Linked DNA regions of Rhinolophus ferrumequinum. The main gene of each other region encodes a partner of the protein of the gene in region 2 in a complex. Links are inferred from orthologs where the notes say so. Each region holds a gene or a part of one and is shown on either strand. Other genes may lie near its edges.

Region 1 (9,023 bases), on a different chromosome or scaffold from region 2:
TTTTGATTGTATCATAATTACATGCTATAGTATGACTACAGAAAAGCATACTAAATTGGCTCTATGAACCTAAACAAATGAAAAGTCCACCCCAATTTCATCAAGGACTAAAAATGCTACATTTCCATGTGTTTCAAGTGGTACTGCACTGCTAAGTCACTGGTTGCTAAGACCTTTTCATTGTTAAACCCGAGGCCTCTTTTCTGCCTTTATTCTTCTTTGTCCTCATTATGCAACCCCTTATAGGTGACTGTTTTCTCTTACTAACTTTACTCTTAGCTTCCTTTTTTTTTTTAAGCTTCCTCTGGTTTCCTATCCCTTTGAGCACTCTCTTTCTCCCTAGTTCTTTTTCCATTCACACTTAAAATATTGGTGTTGCCTAGAGACTTCTCTAAATAGCCTTCTCCTCTAACAAGAAAAGTTCTCCCAGGATGGTTTCATCCATTCCTGGGCTCTGATTACTACCTAAAGTTCTAAATGCTGATGCCTTAATCTGTATGTCAGCTGAACATGCGTTTTCTTTTGCAGCTCTCCTGGTTTCTACCTGGTTTGTCTGAAAAACTCCTTCCCTCCACCTGGTAAAAACCTCAGGCTTTCAGACCTAACATGTCACCACGTCAGTGAAACTTGCACTAACTTTTCCAAATAGTGTTAGTTAATATACTGGTTTAGAAATCACTTTTAACTACACCACCTTGTGAGAACTTCATAAGACAGGCAAGTATTACCATACCCTTTTTAGAAATGAGGACAGTGCTTGAAGAGATCAAACAACTTGAATGAGGAAACATTACTACAAGTGGAAAGCATTAACTTATATCCAGGTCTTCTCACTCTAGGTCCAATGCTTTTCTAATGCACTGAGATGCTCTTAAAAGAAATCAGGAGATTTAGTAGTCTTACTATTATTAAGAAAAATTAATTTAGTCCCGTTTCCTTCTAGAAATTAATTCCTAACTAAATGTTTAATCCAGAAATAAATTAGAATTATTTTTAAATTATACACACAGGCAGTTGGTAAAGATTAAAAAAGAGCTTGTTTAAGACAAACGAAAATAATTTAGGAAAAAAACTAAAAGCAAGAAAAGTTTACAACAGTCTCAAAAAAAGAAATACAAAAAAATTAATTCTTTACATTTTAAATCAAGAACTGAAAATAGTGAAGCCAACAATCTAATATACAGGCTTGATTAACCAATAAATGATATATAGGATCTTCCCTAAAATTAGGGAGTTTCTAAAACTCCCTAATTTTGGTTTTGTTTAAAGGGGCGTGAGGATAAATAAAATTGATAAATAAGATTAAATTTAAAAAACAAAATCATCAATAATCCTGTGACTAGGAAGTGATCAGGCATCCTTGTGATGGTTAGTGAAGGATGAAAGGACACAGGGCTCTAGGACAAGAGGCCAAAGAGCAGAATAGTAGGAGTCAGAGGTGGAACATCAAAATTTTGCAGCCATCGTGGCAAAGACTAGTTCAGGAGATTCATCAATGGTTGCTAAATATAGGGGGTGGTGAACTTAATGAGGAGCAAGACATCTGCATGTTCTCAAAGTGTCCCCCCATCGATAAATTACTGGTAAAAAAGAAATAATGGACAACTAGACAATTATTATTAAGATGGACATCCTACGCCTGTGGATACAATAGTCTGAGAAGGACACATCACTTACGTTAATACTCTGGCCAGGGATACATAACATGAATCTAAACATAGGAAACACCAGTAAATCCAAATTGATTAATGTGCTATTAATTGGCGTGCATTCTTCAAACGTGTCAAGGTAGTGAAAGACAAAGGCTAAGGGACTATTCCAGATTAAAGAGATTAGACAACTAAATGAAATACATGATCCTGGATTGTATCCTGTACTGAAGGGAAAAAATTGCTAAAATAAAAAATTCTTTACTGGATTAAGAGACAACACTGGATTATACTAATTATATTGTAGATTATGTTGATGTTAAATATCCTGAATATAACAGTAGTGTGGTTGTGTAAGACAATCTTTGTTCTTAAAAACTACACACTAAGGTATTAAGAGTAAAGGGACATGATGTACACAACCTACATCATGTAGGTTCAGAAAAAATAATAGTATGAATGTGTGTATGTGTCTGTGCGTGTATACAGAGAGAGACAAAGAGAAACAAAGCAATGTAGTAAATTTTTTTTTAAATTGGCGAGTGCATAAAGGGTAGTTGTCTGTACTACACTTAGAACTTTTTTGTAAACCTGAAACTATTTCAAAAGAGCAGAGAAACAAGGTAAGCTTTAAGTGTTTTATATAAAGTTTGTCGTTTTGTTTTTAAAGGCAAGAAATACCACCATTTTACAAATGAGAGAATATAGGATCAAGAAAGATTAAGTGACCACTTCCAGAACAGGGGTCTCATTTGGTACAACCCCATTCATTAGGTTGTAGTTCAATAGCCAAAATGTTTCTAATTCCTGGAAGCTTCAAGGTCATGTACTGTTTACAGCTACTCTTCACAGTTTTAAACTTTTAATGAGTTGTATGCATTCTCTAATAAAAGCACCATAAATTTCATCAAGTAGAAAGTAGCACATCCAAGCACTAGAGAATAGGCTCTAAGAGAAGAGTGTCTGGGTTCAAATTCAGACAGTGCAGTGTTCTAGCTTTGTGATTGTGAGCAAGTTAACCATTTGTGCTCCAATTTCCTAATCTGCAAAGTGGGATCAGAGAAGTACAACATCTGGGAACAAGCTACAGGGCTGTTAGCAGGACTGAATGAGATAATAAATGTAAAGATAATAAATGCACAAGCACTCAAATACATGTTGGCTATTTTTATTTTAAAGCCAGCCTGCTCAGGCACCTCAACAGCACATTGCTCATAGTCAGAGCCATACATTTTTTTCCAAATCAGACCTAAATCTGACAAAAGAGGAAATCAAGGGCTCTAAGAGAAAAATAGATGTTCAGAAACCATAAAAGTAAATAAATTGCAAGCAAATCACATGCAAAACAGACTGAGGTAGACTTATAGGTTAATTCTACAGTTGAAACATTTTGTCAACAGAACTGCAACAAGCCCCTTGTTAGAACAATCCATCCTCTAAATGCACAGAATGAAAAATGAGAAGAAATCAGTTATTTTACTTTTAAACTTTTCTAACCTGAGAATAAAGAAAAATACTGTATTCCACATGATGTATACAAGATTTCAATAAGCTTAATAGTCAAAATGTAATCCCAATTTCAACTACTGGAGCACTTTCCAGATGGCCCAATCTTGTTAGTAAAACTTATTATCAAAATTTAAATATACTCTTCTGACAACAGCAAAGCAACCGAGAACAAGTACTTTAATTTAGCATGAATCTAGTGAGAACCCATTATGTAACCATACTGTTTAGTATTGAGAGATCAAAAATAAGAAAAATGTAAAAAAGGATTACAAAATATAAATCTTACCAACATCCTGTAAGTTTAACACCTCCCACAAAAAAAAAACAATTTGGGGGTGTTTTCATTCCATTTTATGGTGGTACTTAAAATATTCTTACCATATTTTTAAAAACTAAGAGCACCTTGTTTAGTATTTGTTTTAAAAATTCACATTATTAACTTATAAAATTTTAGGATTTGTAAATAGTAACTCTATTCTCTACTCATATGCTTATTATTTAGTTTGGAACTGGGTTGGTTTTGTTTTTGTCTGTTGTGCAAAGGATATTGTCCAAGAACATTAATGTTTGTATAAATTATCTATTCATAAAGCGCCTGAACACCTCCTTGCACCTCCACTCCAGAGTCACAGAATTGTTTCCCATAAGCAACACTCACACTCCAACTCTCCCTCTCAACTCCCCAAACTCTTTCACCCTAATTGCGAATTTCTCCACGTTTGATCCAGCAATCGTTAAATTGGCTAAAAGTGTTCGTTCAACATTCAGATTCCTATGCCCTAAACCAACTCAATCAGAATCGTTGGGGGTGGGACGTAAGCTCTCCAAATGGTTCTTGCACTAAAGTTTGGAAACTACCAGAGACCCTTACACACACTCACCCCAAGTCCCCATCAACTCCCTCCACTCCCAAAAGACCAAACCCCACCCACCTGCGGGAAATGTTCCGCCCAGCCCCGCAGAAGTCTCAGGACGATCCCACCCCCTTCCGGGGGCCCGAGCCCGGCGCCCGCTCATCCCGGGTCCCCAGCTCCTCAATCCCGTCCCTGCACCCCAAACCTTCCTCCTCACTTTTTCAGATCGCTGCTAAAGAGGCCGAAGGCGCCGGAGGGGGAAATGGTTGAGGTCGCCTCCTGACCCAGCTCCGTCGCCTCCCCTCCCCCGGACTGCTCATTGTAAGCGAAGCTGTTGCTGGACATTGTTGCGATGCTGGCAGGGATCGTATTGGTCCTGCCCGAGGTTCTCTCCGACCCGCTCCAGCCCGAGAGACACGGAACAAAACTAGTTCTCGGAGGGGCGCGCGCAGGCGCTTCCGGACTCGTCACGGCTTCTTAAGCCGACCAGGCGGTCCACCCCCTGCGCATGCCCAGTGTGCAAGCTGGCCGGAGCCCACCGCCGGCCACTCCAGGGCCGGCCTGGATTTACGTTCTCCGGGTTTTTGAGGTAGCTGAGAGGCTTGGACATAGGCTGTGCCTTAGGGAGGCCCTGCGCTTGCCGTTAACTGGTCTCGGCTTTTAAAGTTTCATAGGAGGAAGGTATCCATTGCACCCATTTTGATCCTTTAAGGAGGTTGGTTCCCCGAGCCCCGACACCTCTTTGCTTGCCTCCTGCTGTAAATCAATAGCTTTCAGATTTCTCCTGAAACGCCATTTAACACACCAGATCAACTTTCCTAAGAATACCGGGATCGCTTTTCCTCGTTAGACTGGTTTCTGCTCCTCTGCCTCCAGCCAGTGTTGCCTTACTTTCACATCCACCCTAGGCAATCCTTATCCCATCCCTCTCCACTTGAATGAAACCTTTCTCTCCGCTGCGTTTTACTGATATCCAAGCCTGAAGATACAAAGAAAAGGGAGCTATAGACTTTCTAAATAAAATACTAAACAGAAAATGCAAACATTAAAATTACCCAATAGTTTTTTATATAATAAAAGAATTTTTCAACATTAAGAAACTTATCCTTAATATAAGTATATAATATATGTTGATAGATATTGGAAATTAGTAACACGTCATCAGCTCTTCTGATTTAAAGAAATAGTAACCTAGAAACAGAAATATTCTTAGCATTCTTATGCATATATATATAAAGATAAAATACACATACAGATAAACTTAAAATTCCACCACAAATTATACAATCTAAAGCATCTTATTTAATAGTGAAACACTGAAGGCATTCCAGCTGAAATCAATAAAAAGACAACTAGGCCCATTAACGCCATTATCATTTTACACGTTCTAGATTCTAGCTAATCCAATAGGACAAGAAAAATAAGTAGTGAAAAAGAAGAGAACGATTATAATAATATTTGCAGATGATATGATTATCTTGCTGGATGATCTAAGAGAAAATTATTACACCTTAAATTGATTAAGCAGAGTTGCCAGAGGCAAAAAGACAATAGCACTCTGACACACCAATGGTATCTAATTAGAAAATGTAATTTTAAAAAGATCCTATTCCACAGTAGAACAAATAAGTCTTAAGAAATAAGCCTTAAGAACTGTATAAGACCTAAGTGAAGAAAAACTATGAAATTTTGCAGTTTAAATAGGGAGGGTGATATATGAAATATGAAAAGATAATCTGTTTCTGAATAGGAATATTCAAGTGAATCTGTATATTTAATGCAGTTTCAGTCAAAATTCAACTTTTTTTTCCACTAGACAAATTCAATCTAAAGTTCACCTGAAAGAATAAATGCAGCTTAAAGCAAAAAAATTTAAAAAAAAAAAAGTATAATGTGATGAAGAAATTATGCTACCACTCATTTAAATGTACTATAAAGTTATTGTAATTTAAAAGTTTGGTATTTTTCTCAAGAGTAAATAGATTGGTGGAACAGAATAGAAAAAGACTCAACTATATGCAGGTATTGACATAGTAAAGTTAACATTTCAGATCATTTAGGAAATAACGTATTATTCAATAAATGGCACTAGAGCAATTAATTAGTTAACTACGTGTAAAGTTAGATCTCTGTATTAGTTTCCAATGACTGCTGTAACAAATTCCCACAAATTTTGGTGGCTTCAAAAAGGATAAATTTATTCTTATATTTCTGGAGTCCTGAAGTTCAAAATTAAGGTGCACAATCTAAGGTATAAGCAGGGCCACTTTTTGCAGAGGTTCTAGGGGAGAAGCCCTTTCTTGCCTTTTCTAGCTTCCAAAGCTACATCCCTTGTATTCCTTGCATTCCTTGGCTGTGGCCCCTTCTTCCATTCTTCAAGGCGAACAGCACAGTATCTGTAAATCTCGATCCACTCTGTCTTCACATTGCGTTTTCCAATCTGTGTCAAATCTCCCTTTGCCTCCCTTTTTTAAGGACACTTGTGAATACATTTAAGGCCCATCCAGATAATCCAGGATAATCTTTCCATCTCAAAATCTTTAATTCGATCACATCTGCAAAGTCACTTTTGCCATATAAGGTAATAGTCACAGTTTCCAGGAATTAGGAATTGGATATGTACTGGGAGTCATCATGCAGCCTACCACCATCTCTAACTCACGTAATACTTATAAGTAAATTCCAGATTGATTAAAACTAAACTACAAAAATTGAATGAATTTCAGGAAAATGTTTTTGGGATTGAGGGGTCTCATGGTTGAGGATTGGGACAAAATAGCCTCAGCATAAATCTAGGCTAGAAACAATAAACAAATATTTGTAAGACAAATTCCATAAAAAATAGTTTTAGCAGCCTTTACTATTAGAAAATAACTCTTCTTATGATTTTAATAGAATTTAAAATTTACAGGATTAGTGAAGATCTGAGCTTCAAATTTCACAAGTATTTTCTAAGTGTTCATTTGAATTCATTATAAGAAATAAAGCTACTCCTATTTTTTTTAAAAAAAATGAATTATGAATAAAACAATATGATCTCTAATGACTAAGAGTTTCCATTTATTAAGCTCTTGAAGCTCCAAGTTAGGTCATTTATATGCACTTATCATGGTCCTGATTGATCTGGCCCTCATTTACATCTCTTGACTTCATTGTGACCCACTCCCCCTAGTTTACTGCCCTCCAGACAGTCTGGCCTTTCTGTTCCTTGATCCACCAAGCTTGTTCTGACCTGAGAGACCTTGCTTGCTGAGCTTTCTGCCAGCAGCATTCTTCCAATAGGTCTTCAAAAGGCTGGTTCCTTCAGCTTTATTCAGGCTTTTACTCAGCTGTTAGCTTAAATATCACCTATGCAGAGAGGTCTTTCTGGACCACTCATTCTGATATAGCACCTCCCCCTAATCCCCACCCTCACTGGTTACAGAATTTATTGGAACAGCTAATCTGTTTAGTTACTATATGTCACTCTCGAATACACATCCCTGTGGAATACTTGCATTACATTAAGGAGAATTTTTCCAAATAGAGTACAAAGTTTCTTCTGTTAAATGAACATGAGTTATGCTTTCCTGTTTAAAGAACCGCAGTGATTGATCAATTTGGAACATGAAGAACTCTTCTGAAATTGAATGGATGCAATCCTCCAATTTATCGAGCATTTGGGGTTTTTCATTCTTTAGGTTTTCTAAAATGGTACATACCTGCAAATGTATGTGTTGAAAATGCCATGACCTCATTATTATATTTTATAATGAAATTGATTTGGAAAATGCAGTGTCTTCAACCCTACATGAGATCATCACTAATGTTTATTTGAAACGATTTATGAATAAAGAGAGGCTATATTACTAAATATCACAAAGGGAATATTTTAGGCCACTTATGATTCTCTTATTGAAGACTTTTAGATGGCCTTAATCTCAGAGGCAAAGGCTTAAGTTATACAAAATGATCATGTCATTATACTTTCCCTCTTATTCCTAATACATTGAAAGAAGTTTATCACTCCTGGGTTTTGGAAGAAGTTTAAATAGCTAGGGAATGTGCTCAGCAAAGTGAAGCACTGCTGAAGGACAGGACTACTGGAAATCTCTTCCTGTATGTCTTCTCTGAGGCTCACTTATGAAGTCAGTGAATATAGCCTTTCTTTCCACTTCACTTTAGCAGCAAAAAGGACAATCAGCCAGACCCACGTTTGAACCCTGACTGCCTCACTAGCAAGATGTATGAAGGCAAGGCATGTTCTTAACCTTTCTGAGATTCAAAGTTTCTAAAAATTATTAGTTCTCATCCTCATTTAAAAATAAAACTCTTGTGAATAGGGAAAAGGAAGTAACACTTTCAGAATACTGCGTCATGTGGAAGCAAATCTATGTTAACAAAATCTCTGGACTTGCCGCTAAATGTTGAAATGATAGGATCAGCTTCCTTCTAACACTGCTTACTAAATGTTGAAGCTCTGAAATATTTATGTGCAAAGAGGAATCTGAATATTTTATTAATACATTCAACAAATACCTATGGAACTACCTTGTACATGGCACGTGCTGGAGATCACGTAGGGAACATACTCGAGGAAAAGCCAGGCCTTATCCTCAAAAGACATCATAATAGAAGAGACAAGCCTCTACTTGAATATGTACAATGCTATAACACAAGGCAGTAATGGTGAAAATATTTAATGGTCATATATTAAAAAATACTTGATTGTTTATTTTTATGAATTATATTACATAATTCAAAAATCACTCACATACCATCCCACTGTTATAGTTCAATTATCTTAGTATGTTCCAGACACTCTTCTTAGTGCTTTGCATATATTAATTCATTCAATCCTCATCCAATCCTGTGAGGCAGTTACCATTAGCATCCTCATTTCACAGGTGAAAAACTGAGGAACTGGGCTTGAGAAACTTGTCCAAGTTTACACAGCTAATAAAATAGCAGAGCTGTTCTTTGAACCAAGACCAGACTCCAGGGTCTACACTTTTAATTACTCTGCTGTACC
Region 2 (9,876 bases):
ACCAGAAGGAGAAGAGAAAGAGTAAGGAATTGAAAACCTATTTGAAGAAATAATGATGGAAAACTTTTCTAACCTGGTGAAGGAAATAGATATACAAGCCCAGGAAGCACAGAGAGAGAATACCAAACAAGATAAATCCAAAGAGGCCCACACCAAGACACATCATAATTAAAATGCCAAAGGTTAAAGACAGAGAATCTTATAAGCAGCAAGAGAAAAGCAGTTAGTTACCTACAAGGGAGCTCCCATAAGATGATCAGCTGATTTCTGAACAGAAACTTTGTAGATCAGAAGGGACTGGCAGAAAATATTCAAAGTGATGAAAAGCAAGGACCTACAGCCAGTATTACTCTACCCAGCAAAGCTATCATTTAGAATCGAAGGACAGATGAAGAGCTCCCCAGACAAGAAAAAGCTAAGAGTTCATCACCACCAAATCAATATTTTAAGGACTCTTAGAGGGACTTCTTTAAGACGAAAAAAATAAAAAATAAAAAATAAGAATAATAAAATGGCAATAACTACATACCTATGAACAATTACTTTCAATGTAAATGAATTAAATGCTTCAATCAAAAGATGGGGAGCTGAAAGGATAACAAATCAAGACCCTCACATATGCTGCCTACAAGAGACTCACTTCAGATCAAAAGACACATGCAGACTGAAAGTAAAGGGATGGAAAAAGATATTTCATGAAAATGGAAACAAACAAACCAAAAAAAGTTCTTAAAGTGAACTGGCACTTTAAGGAAACTGAGGTATCAATACTTATACCAGACAAAATAGACTTTAAAACAAAGACTATAACAAGACACAAAGAAGAACCTAGTAATCCCACTCCTGGATATTTATCTGAACAAACCCGAAATACTGCTTCAAGGGAACACGCTCATCCACATGTTCATTGCAACAATGTTCACATCAGCCAAGATATGAATGCAACCTGGATGTCCCTGAATGGATGAATGGATAAAGAAGAGGTGGTACATACAGAAGGTGCCAAAAAATATACACACATTTTAAGAAAGGAAAAAACTGTTGAAATTGTAGTGTTCGATATATACTTGGTAACAAGAGATGAATACAAGTTGTGTTTGACTTCTGCAATTACAAAAGGTGCTCAAAGTTGTTACCATCAGCGTCCAGACACTTCTGATTATGGTGAACTACTGCTTGAGCAACGTTGACCAAAGTGTCCACTTGTATACATTTTTTTGGTACCCCTGGTATATACAATGGACTATTACTCAGCCACAAAAAAGAATGAAGTCTCGCCATCTGTGACAACATGGATGGACCTAAAGGGTATTGTGCTGAGTATGGTAAGTCAGACAGCGAAAGACAAATAAATGTCATATGATTATACTTATAAGTGGATTCTAAAGAACAAGACAAGCAAACAAACAAAACAGAAACAAACTCATAGATACAGAGAACATTTTGATGGTTGCCAGATGGGAGGGGGTTTGGGGGTGGGTGAAAAAGGGGAAGGGATTAAGAAGTACAAATGGGTAGTTACAAAGCAGTCACGGGGATTTAAAGTATAGCGTTAGGAATATAGTTAATAATATTGTAAGAACTGTATGGTGTCAGATGGGTGCTAGATTTGTTGGGGTGATAGATGGGAGGGTGTTTCGGGCAGGATGATAAAGGTGAAGGGGTTAAGAAATACAAATGGGTGGTTATAAAGCTGTAGTGGGCATGTAAAGCATAGGGAAGATAATCAATAATATGGTAATAATTAGGTATAGTTCCAGGTAGGTACTAGGCAGGGGGATCATTTCGTAAATTATATAAATGTCTAACCCCTATGCTGTATCCTTGAAATTAATATGAAATAATTTTGAATGTCAAGTGTAATTGAAAATTTTTAAAAAGGGGGAAAAGATAAAGGGAAATAAGAGGTTCAAAGTTCCAGGTATAAAAAAGTCTTGGGGATGTAATATACAGCATAGGAAATATAGTCAGTAATATTGTGATAGCGTGATTATGGTGTCAGATGGTTGCTGGACTTATCATGGAGATAAAAGTGAACTGGCACTTTAAGGAAACTGACCAGGAAGTCGGGACTAGAGAGTAACAGGAAGCCCCGCTCCATCCATGACCTCCCAACTCCCTGGTCGGTTTCCTTAAAATGCCAGTTCGCTTTTATCAATGGTTATCACTTCTTTAGCATAGAGAACATAATCAATTATAGGGTAATAACTATGTATAGTACCAGGTGGGTACTGTTGAATAACTATGATGTAATACCTGAAACTAATATATGTTAGCTATATCTTAATAAAAATATTTTTAAAAATAAAGTGGACAACATATATACGGAGGGTGCCAAAAATACTTATAGACATTTTAAGAAAGGAAAACTATTAACATTGTAACACTCAACATATATATAGATAACAAAAAATGAATGCAAGTCACGTTTTTGTGTGTTTTATTTTTTTTAAAGATTTTACTGGGGAAGGTGAACAGGACTTTATTGAGGAACAGTGTGTACTTCCAGGACTTTTTTTCCAGGTCAAGTTGTTGTCCTTTCAGGCTTAGTTGTGGAGGGTGCATGCAGCTCAGCTCCAGGTCCAGTTGCCGTTACTAGTTGCAGGGTGCGCAGCCCACCATCTCTTGCACCGGCAACCTTGTGGTTGAGAGCCCACTGGCCCATGCGGGAATCGAACTGGCAACCTTCAGAGTTAGGAGCACGGAGCTCCAACCGCCTGAGCCACAGGCCGGCCCTATAAGTAATGTTTGACTTCTGCAATTATAAGAGGTGCTCAAAGTGGTTACCATCAGAGTCCAGACACTTCTGATTATGGCGAACTACTGCTTGAGCAATGTTGATCAAAGTGTTAACATTTCTTAAAATGTGTATGCATGTTTTTGGCACCGTGTGTGTGTGTGTGTGTGTGTGTGTGTGTGTGTGTGTGTGTGTGTTATCAGTGCTGTCAGTTTCCACCATTGAATTAGTGATTAGTGTTTAGACCACTTACTACATTTAATGGAAGTATCAATATGGTCGGGTTTAAATCTACCGTCTTGCTATTTTTCCCTCCTGTTCTTTGTAATCTTTTTCCTCGTTGCTTTATTTTGGATTGACCATTTTTTTATTATTCCATTTATACCTATAATTGTCTTATTAATGATTCCTCTTTATTTTTAGTGATTTTCCTAGGGTTATACCACACTACTTCTTCACACATAATGTAAGACCCTTACAACAGTACATTTCCATTTCCACCTTCTATTCTTATATATACTACTGTGTTACTTTAAATATGTTACAAGTAAACTCACCATACATTATTGTTATTTTTGCTTTAAAGAGTCAATTACCATTTTTGTAAATCGAGAAATAATTATATTTTCCACATTTTAAACATTTCTTGTGTTCTTTCTTTTGCATAGATCCAAATCTCTGTTTGGCATCATTTTCCTTCTGTCCCAAAGAATATTCTTTAACATTTTTCTTAATGTAGGTCTACTGCTCATAAATTCTCTCAGCTTTTATTTGTCTGAAAATATGTATTTTGCCTTCATTTTTTAAAATACATTGTTACTGGATATAGAATTATAGGGGTTTATTTTGTTTTGGTACTTTAAAAATATTATTCCATTGTCTTCTGGTATGAATTATTTATGCTAAAAATCTTAGTCATTCTTAATACTTAACTATCATTTTAGATTAGTTTCACCTGTAATTGAACTTCACATCAATAGAATCATACTTTGTACAATCTTTTGTATTTGTCTTATTGTGTTCAACATAATAATGTGTCTGTGTAATTCATCCATTTTGTTCGGTGTATTAATAATTTGTTATTTTTCATTGCTGCATAGTATTGTGTGAATATGTCACAAGTTACTTATCAATTTCTGTTGATGGACATTTGGGTTATTTTGGATTTTTGGCTAATATAAATACAACTACTTTGAATATTCTTGTCCGAATGTTTGATGGATATATTAATGCATTCTTGTTAGGAACAGTACTGGAATTGCTGGGTCATAGGATATGCATATGTTAGTTTTAAGAAACAGCCAGGTGGGTTTCTAATTTAGCTGTGTAGTTTTACTGTTCTACTTTAAGTATAAAAGAGGAGAGTTCAGCATTTGATGTCATCAATCTTTCTAATTTTATCCATTCTCATAGGGGTACAGAGACATATCACATTGTGGTTTAAATTTATATTTTCCTGATGACTGAGATGGAGCATATAACCATTGTACATATCCACTGACCATTTGGATGTCTTCTTTTCTGAAACGCACGTTTGTTTTTTGCCATGTTTTAAGTAGGTTTTTTTTCTTCATGATTTGTAGGCATTTTTGTCTTGTTCTGCTTTGTTTTCTGCTTGTTGAACCATATTATGGCAATAAGTCCTTTGTCAAATATATGTATTGCAAATGGCTTATCCCAGTTTGTGGCTTGCTTTTTTATTCTCTTAGTGGTGTATCCGGAGGGCAAGCACCGCAGGTATCTCATTCACTGCTGGGTGTCCAGGGATCGCTACCATGCTTGGCACACACAGCAGGTCCTCCAATAAATGTTGAATGAATGACTGCTTGGGAGTCCTAGCTCTGGGCCATGGTTTCCTTTTCCTGCTCATATCACACGATTTTGTGAGACTTGCAAGAGACGCAGAAGCGGATCTCTGCAGCGTAGGTTTTAAGGTTCTCAAGCAGCGTCAGCTTTTAGAATCAGAAAGGCGGAGCAGGATTCTTCTCCAGGAACTTGCCTAAGAAGCTCCACGTGAGCACCCCGCCCACAGCAGGCCCCGCCCACTTCTGTCACTTAACTGAGGGGCGGACTGGGAGGTTTCTCCTAGGGGGGCATGGTTGGAACCGAAACGAGGAAGTGGGTGGAGCTCCTGAGGACACTGACCAATGAGAGGGAAGAGACCTGAGAGGGAGTGGGCGGGGCCATGTGGGCGCAGACAGGGTTGTCTGCGTTTCCATTGGGCGGCCTGGCGTCGTCAGGGAAATGTGATATCCGGAGTTAGGGGGCGGGTCTTAGTGGGAGGCGGGGCTTCCGGGAGGGCCGGCCGCCGCGGCACCCGCGGTCAGCTGACCGGCCGCCATCTTGTCCGCCATTTGCAAGCGCGGCGAAGCGTGAGGGGAGGGCAGTGCGGCCTGCCCAGCGGGTTCCGCCCGCCGCCGCCTCTTCCTCCTCCTCGCAGACCGCCGCGGGCCTGGCCTGGGATCCCGTCCCGCCGCGGCGGCAAGCACTCCGCGGGCGGCAGGCGCAGCCCCCAGACCCCCGCACGGCACTCACCCGCGAGCCTCCCGGGGCTCGAGCCTGCCGGTGGCCGCCGCGATGGCCCTCAAGATGGTCAAGGGCAGCATCGACCGCATGTTCGATAAGAACCTGCAGGACCTGGTGCGCGGCATCCGCAACCACAAGGAGGACGAGGTGAGACCGGAGCGCCGCGCGGGGCCGGCCTGGCTCTGCTCGCGACCCCGACCCTCCATCCTGGCCTGCAGCCCGCCCTAGAGGTCCCGCTCCCGGCTCGAGTCCCACCTGCCCGCGGTCTGGGCGCCGCACACCCTCTGTCCGAACCTCAGTGTACCCCTGAGGGCCCAAGGCGGCCCCAGAAGAGACCCCGGAGGCCCTCAAAGCTGCGGTTCTCAGACTCCCCCCACCCCCCATGTATCTGCTCGCCTGCGGGACCCTGCCGCTGGGTGGCCTCCCTCCTGGAGTCTCAGTTTATACGCTCGGCAATGGGGGCTGCTTCCCCCTCCCCGCCGGTGACTCCGGAAGAGACTTCGCAGGTCCCCTCGAGCGGCGGCCTTCCAACCTTGTGTTTTGGGATCACCTGTTCAAAACATAGGGTCCCCGGCCTCGCCCTAAGCCTCTGGACTCCTGGTTGCGGAACCTTCCTGTCCGCAGGCCGCCCCCAGAGGAACCCCCTATGGGATTAGTGCGTGGCCAGGTCGCTGCCTGCGGCCTGGCCCGGAACTGGTCCTTGCCTCGTGGGCACGTGTCCTGGGGAAGGTGGGGCCCGCCCCTCTTAGAGAGGGAGGGGAGGCTAGGAGTGTCCCTGCCCAAAATAAGGAAGCTGCTAAGGGCTCCTGGAATGGGGAAGCCGACTTTAACTAGAAACCCAAAAGCCAGGGTGAGGGAAAGGTTTCCAGAAGTAAAATTGTAACAGTGGGCACCATTTCCTTCCTTTTTCTCCTCTCCCCAACCTGTGACCTAGATTTAGGAGGAATGGGGACAGTTAGTAGCCACCAGACCTTTGGCCTCATGGATGAGGCCCAAGCCCTCCCTTATACAGTGGGACATTAAAGAAAGTCTCCGCTTTACAGGCTGCATGGAGAGAGGCTACCCTGAGGAGAGCAGCTGTTTGGTGCTGTGCAGGTCCCACTGCCTGAGGCTAATGCCCTCCTCACAATGGCACCCAGGCAAGTGTACTTGACAGACTGGAAGGTGCGGAGGAAGTTGAATTTGCTGGGAGGCATAGGCACCCGCAGCCCAGGTCCCTGTGCTGGGAGCCTGAGTTCCTGCCTGTGTAGCACTTTTTCAGAATAGGTGTGACTTCACTGAAATGTAATTAGGTTATTTTCTCTCATTTCCATCACCTTTCCCTTCCCTGGGTTTTGCTTTATGTTGAAGCTCTGCCTAATGGCAAGTGTTACAATGTGCAGCTAACTCTAGTCCTGATCTTCAGTTTCTTTCTGAGTTAAAAGAGTAGCTGGTTGGCCCCTGTTACCGAGCAGTGGCTAAGCAAATTTGGTTTGCACCCATAGATTTCTTTTTTTGCACTGGTTATCCTCCCTGGTTTCCCTCACTGAGCAGCCTGTTCCAGATGCTGAGGACAGGCCACTGGGCCTTTCCTGCAGAGAAACACACTCCAGTTAGGGCACCTGGGTTTTTAGGAGGGTGTGTCCATCATCACTGGGCAGTACCCCGACCCTTGGTTTCTTCATTTGGAATTGGTGGAAATTGATAACGTCTTTCCCACAGGCTTGGGGCCCATTCAACGGGTGCATTGATGATGGAAGCATTTTTTAAATAGCACAGTGCCAGGCTGGTGCTGGAAGTCCTCAAAAGTCAGGTTTCTGCATGGACCTTGCCCTTAGCCTATTGGCGATTCCCAGCAGAATGTGGCACAGACACCTGTGATCTTTTGTATTCAGGTTGTCATGGTCTCGAGGGTCATTACTGAGACGTCACTTCTGACTTGACTTTCATCTCTGTCCCTGTGGCACTGCAGGCAAGGATTGCTGAATTACTCTGCTAGTTCCCCCACTCTCTAAAATAGGCTCTCCCCTCCCACCCCACCACACCCCTTCAAGAGACTTCTGACAATATCGTTTTTTCTGTACCAGTACAATTCCCTCCCCCCTGCAAAGTTTACTTTTTATGATAGATTTTAGCTTAAAACATCCATATGGTATAGAAATGAGGCTTAGCAGTAACTTTAAAAACCATGTGGAAAGGCAGGGTGATTTAGTGGAAGTTATATTGTATGAAGTTTAGGAGACCTGAGTCCAAGTTCTTGGACCTGTTTAACTGTGTGACCTTGGGAAAGCCCCTGACTGGTTTCCTCACCTGTAAAGTGGGGGCGACAGCTGCCTCCCCTCCTCACAGAGTGCTTATGAGGGTGCAGTAAGTGACGTAATGCAGGCTTCTGTGAGTGCCAGAGCATCCCAGGAAGTTGTCTGCCTTGCTATTTCCAAATCTCATTCTCTGACCCCATAGTGGGTTATGAATTCAATTTAATGGGTTATGTAAAAAAGAAAAACGAAAATCCCAGACCGCAAGCAGCACGTAGGGTAACTCTTGTTTCTTGATAAACTTTTAGTTCGGCTTAGGATACTAAGTGTACCTGTATGTGTGTATTGGGTTAGCATGGAAAGCATATTTCTTGAAATGAGTCCTCAAAGTTTGAAAAATAGTGGCCTAATTCACACATTTATGGGTGCTTGAATTTATTGTCCTTAAGATACAGCAAGGATGATGTTGGCAAGTAGGGGGGAATCCACTGGGGAATGCTGTTGCTTCTAAAAGTTGGATACGACTAGGAGAAATCCCTGTCGCGTCCTGCACGACGAGGGTTGTGGGGAGTGAGGAGGGCAGCGCAGGGTTAAGAAAGACAGTAGCCCTGAATAGAGTTTAAGCGGGGGCCAAGGGACCGGCAGCCTCAAGGACTGGACGCCCTGAATTGGGCCTACGCTTAGCTTTTATTAGTTAGGTGGGTAAGTAAAGGAGATAAAGCTTGTCAATCTCAAGATCTGTGAATCCCACACATCATAATAGGAAACTGATACAAGCCAGTCACCCTTGCCTGCAGGCAGCAGAACCGTGAGTCTCAGGATGTGTGTACTTCCCTGAGGGACAAAACCTGTATGCATATGAATAGATGGAGAGCACACCATTGAGTCTCTTCCCCTGCAGGTTGTGGGAAGGAATGCAGCCACTGAGGCAGAGGCTCTCCTTGGGGCGGGGGGGAGGGGCTGTGCCCACCTCTATGAACCCCGTGGATTCTCCTGTTGGTCCCCACTCCACTGCGCCTGGCTTGAGTTGTCCGCCCCCTGCCCCCTATGGGGAATCTTACCCGTCATTGGCTGACCAGCCATCCTCCGGGGCCAAACAGGGAGACATAAGGTGCAAGCTCAAAGGTGAAGCACAGTCCCTGAAAGGATTAGTCTCACAGACTCTCCTTCCTTTAGGGGCAGGTACGAGGGGACAGACGGGTAGGCTGCTGCGTGACAACAACCCCAAGTGACTTAATATTTCATTCTCATGGGTACTTTTTATATTTCAGGGGAAACTTTTTCTTTTAATCTAACTATACCCATAACTTTTTGTAATAAGCTTAGTGTTCATTAAGTTAAAAAGGACAATACCTCTCCCTGCGAATCAGTTTGGTGTCTGTACTTCTAGACTGTTGTCTGTTAGTAGAAATCACTGATGACTCTGTAGGTTTAGACTGTTGGGATTTGCCATGAGTGTAGTCTCACTGCCAGCTTTCCCTGTGAGCGTAGCCAGTCCCCCTCGGGTGGGCATTAAGTGCTTCCAGTTTGCTTTCTGGGGCCACAGTTCCCTCCACTGGGCACAAACTCTGCACACACCTGTTGGTATTTAGGTTCTGGGAAGCCTTGTACGTGTGGGCGTCTGCTGCCCCTGCCTGGTGCTCAGTACCCAGTGACTGCACGCCCTCCCTTGCCTTTGCTTTGATACTCGGTTTAGACCCCGCTCCTGGAAGCTCCCTGCACTTCCCAAGGCTGTGGAGGCCTCCCTCTGTGCCTCTAGGTGAGCCCCCAAGCTGGCGTCTCTGGGGGCCCACCCACAGGGCTCTGTGGTCTATCACCTTGTGCTCCAAAGGCCACGCTGCCGCTGCCCACTCCCAGCTGGTGACAGTGCACAGAGCCACCTAGGCAGGTGACTGGCCTTGCTAAACTTTCCTTAGCCACTTCCACCCAGCGTTTCTTCCCTGGCCCTTCACTCAGGGCCAGACCCGCATGGCTGTCTCCCAGCTCCCTCCCGTTTCCTCTTGTAGGAGTTGTCCCTGACAATATCCAGGTACATTTAACCCCATCCTGGGGTCAGCTACTACTGGGAGGCCCTGGATTGAGTTGTTAACCTCACTCCCTGTCACCAGTCTCCAAAGCCCATGCTGACACTGCAGCCTCCCCTTTTGTCCCCTGGGGCTGATGTTGCCTGTTGTCCAGGGCCCCGGGGTTGGGACTGCCACTTTGGACCCACCTGGTCCTCTAGATGGGCTGCCTGTGCCCTTGAGGACAAGGGTGGGGCTGGCCTCTCTGCTGTGGTCATGGGGTCTGTGGCTTCCTCCCTCCTGGTCTTGGTCTCCCCCCGGGCCCTGGGTGATCTGACTGGTCAGCTAAATAATGGCACCCAGGGATGTCCCCATC

The links.
Region 1: the proteins of AP3D1 (region 2) and AP3B1 are in contact, whole or in part, in a cryo-EM structure (PDB 9C5C), measured with the Homo sapiens proteins. The link is inferred for Rhinolophus ferrumequinum from reciprocal best matches to the Homo sapiens genes AP3D1 and AP3B1. Residues at the interface, in NP_003929.4 of Homo sapiens: Lys352, Leu442, Ile446, Ser471, Tyr483, Trp487, Glu491, His517, Ala520, Val521, Gln524, Asn525, Lys528, Val561, Gln562, Ser563, Ala564, Leu566, Glu567, Gln569, Glu570, Arg571, Ser573, Cys574, Gln577, Leu578, His581, Ile582, Leu585, Lys588; in NP_003655.3 of Homo sapiens: Asn75, Lys466, Lys467, Gln470, Val494, Ala497, Ser498, Trp501, Leu531, Leu534, Gln535, Asn538, Lys542, Asn567, Tyr568, Asp569, Asp572, Arg573, Arg575, Phe576, Ile577, Gln579, Leu580, Lys586, Gly588, Ala589, Leu590, Ser591, Tyr593, Lys596.

The regions. Positions count from the first base shown.
Region 1 is NC_046290.1:50,197,396-50,206,418, forward strand, and holds the start of AP3B1 (AP-3 complex subunit beta-1), read right to left. Parts: upstream 4,498-9,023; 5' UTR 4,358-4,497; coding exon 4,230-4,357; intron 1-4,229. UniProt on the Homo sapiens protein: Subunit of non-clathrin- and clathrin-associated adaptor protein complex 3 (AP-3) that plays a role in protein sorting in the late-Golgi/trans-Golgi network (TGN) and/or endosomes.
Region 2 is NC_046301.1:61,103,129-61,113,004, forward strand, and holds the start of AP3D1 (AP-3 complex subunit delta-1), read left to right. Parts: upstream 1-5,063; 5' UTR 5,064-5,314; coding exon 5,315-5,410; intron 5,411-9,876. UniProt on the Homo sapiens protein: Part of the AP-3 complex, an adaptor-related complex which is not clathrin-associated. The complex is associated with the Golgi region as well as more peripheral structures.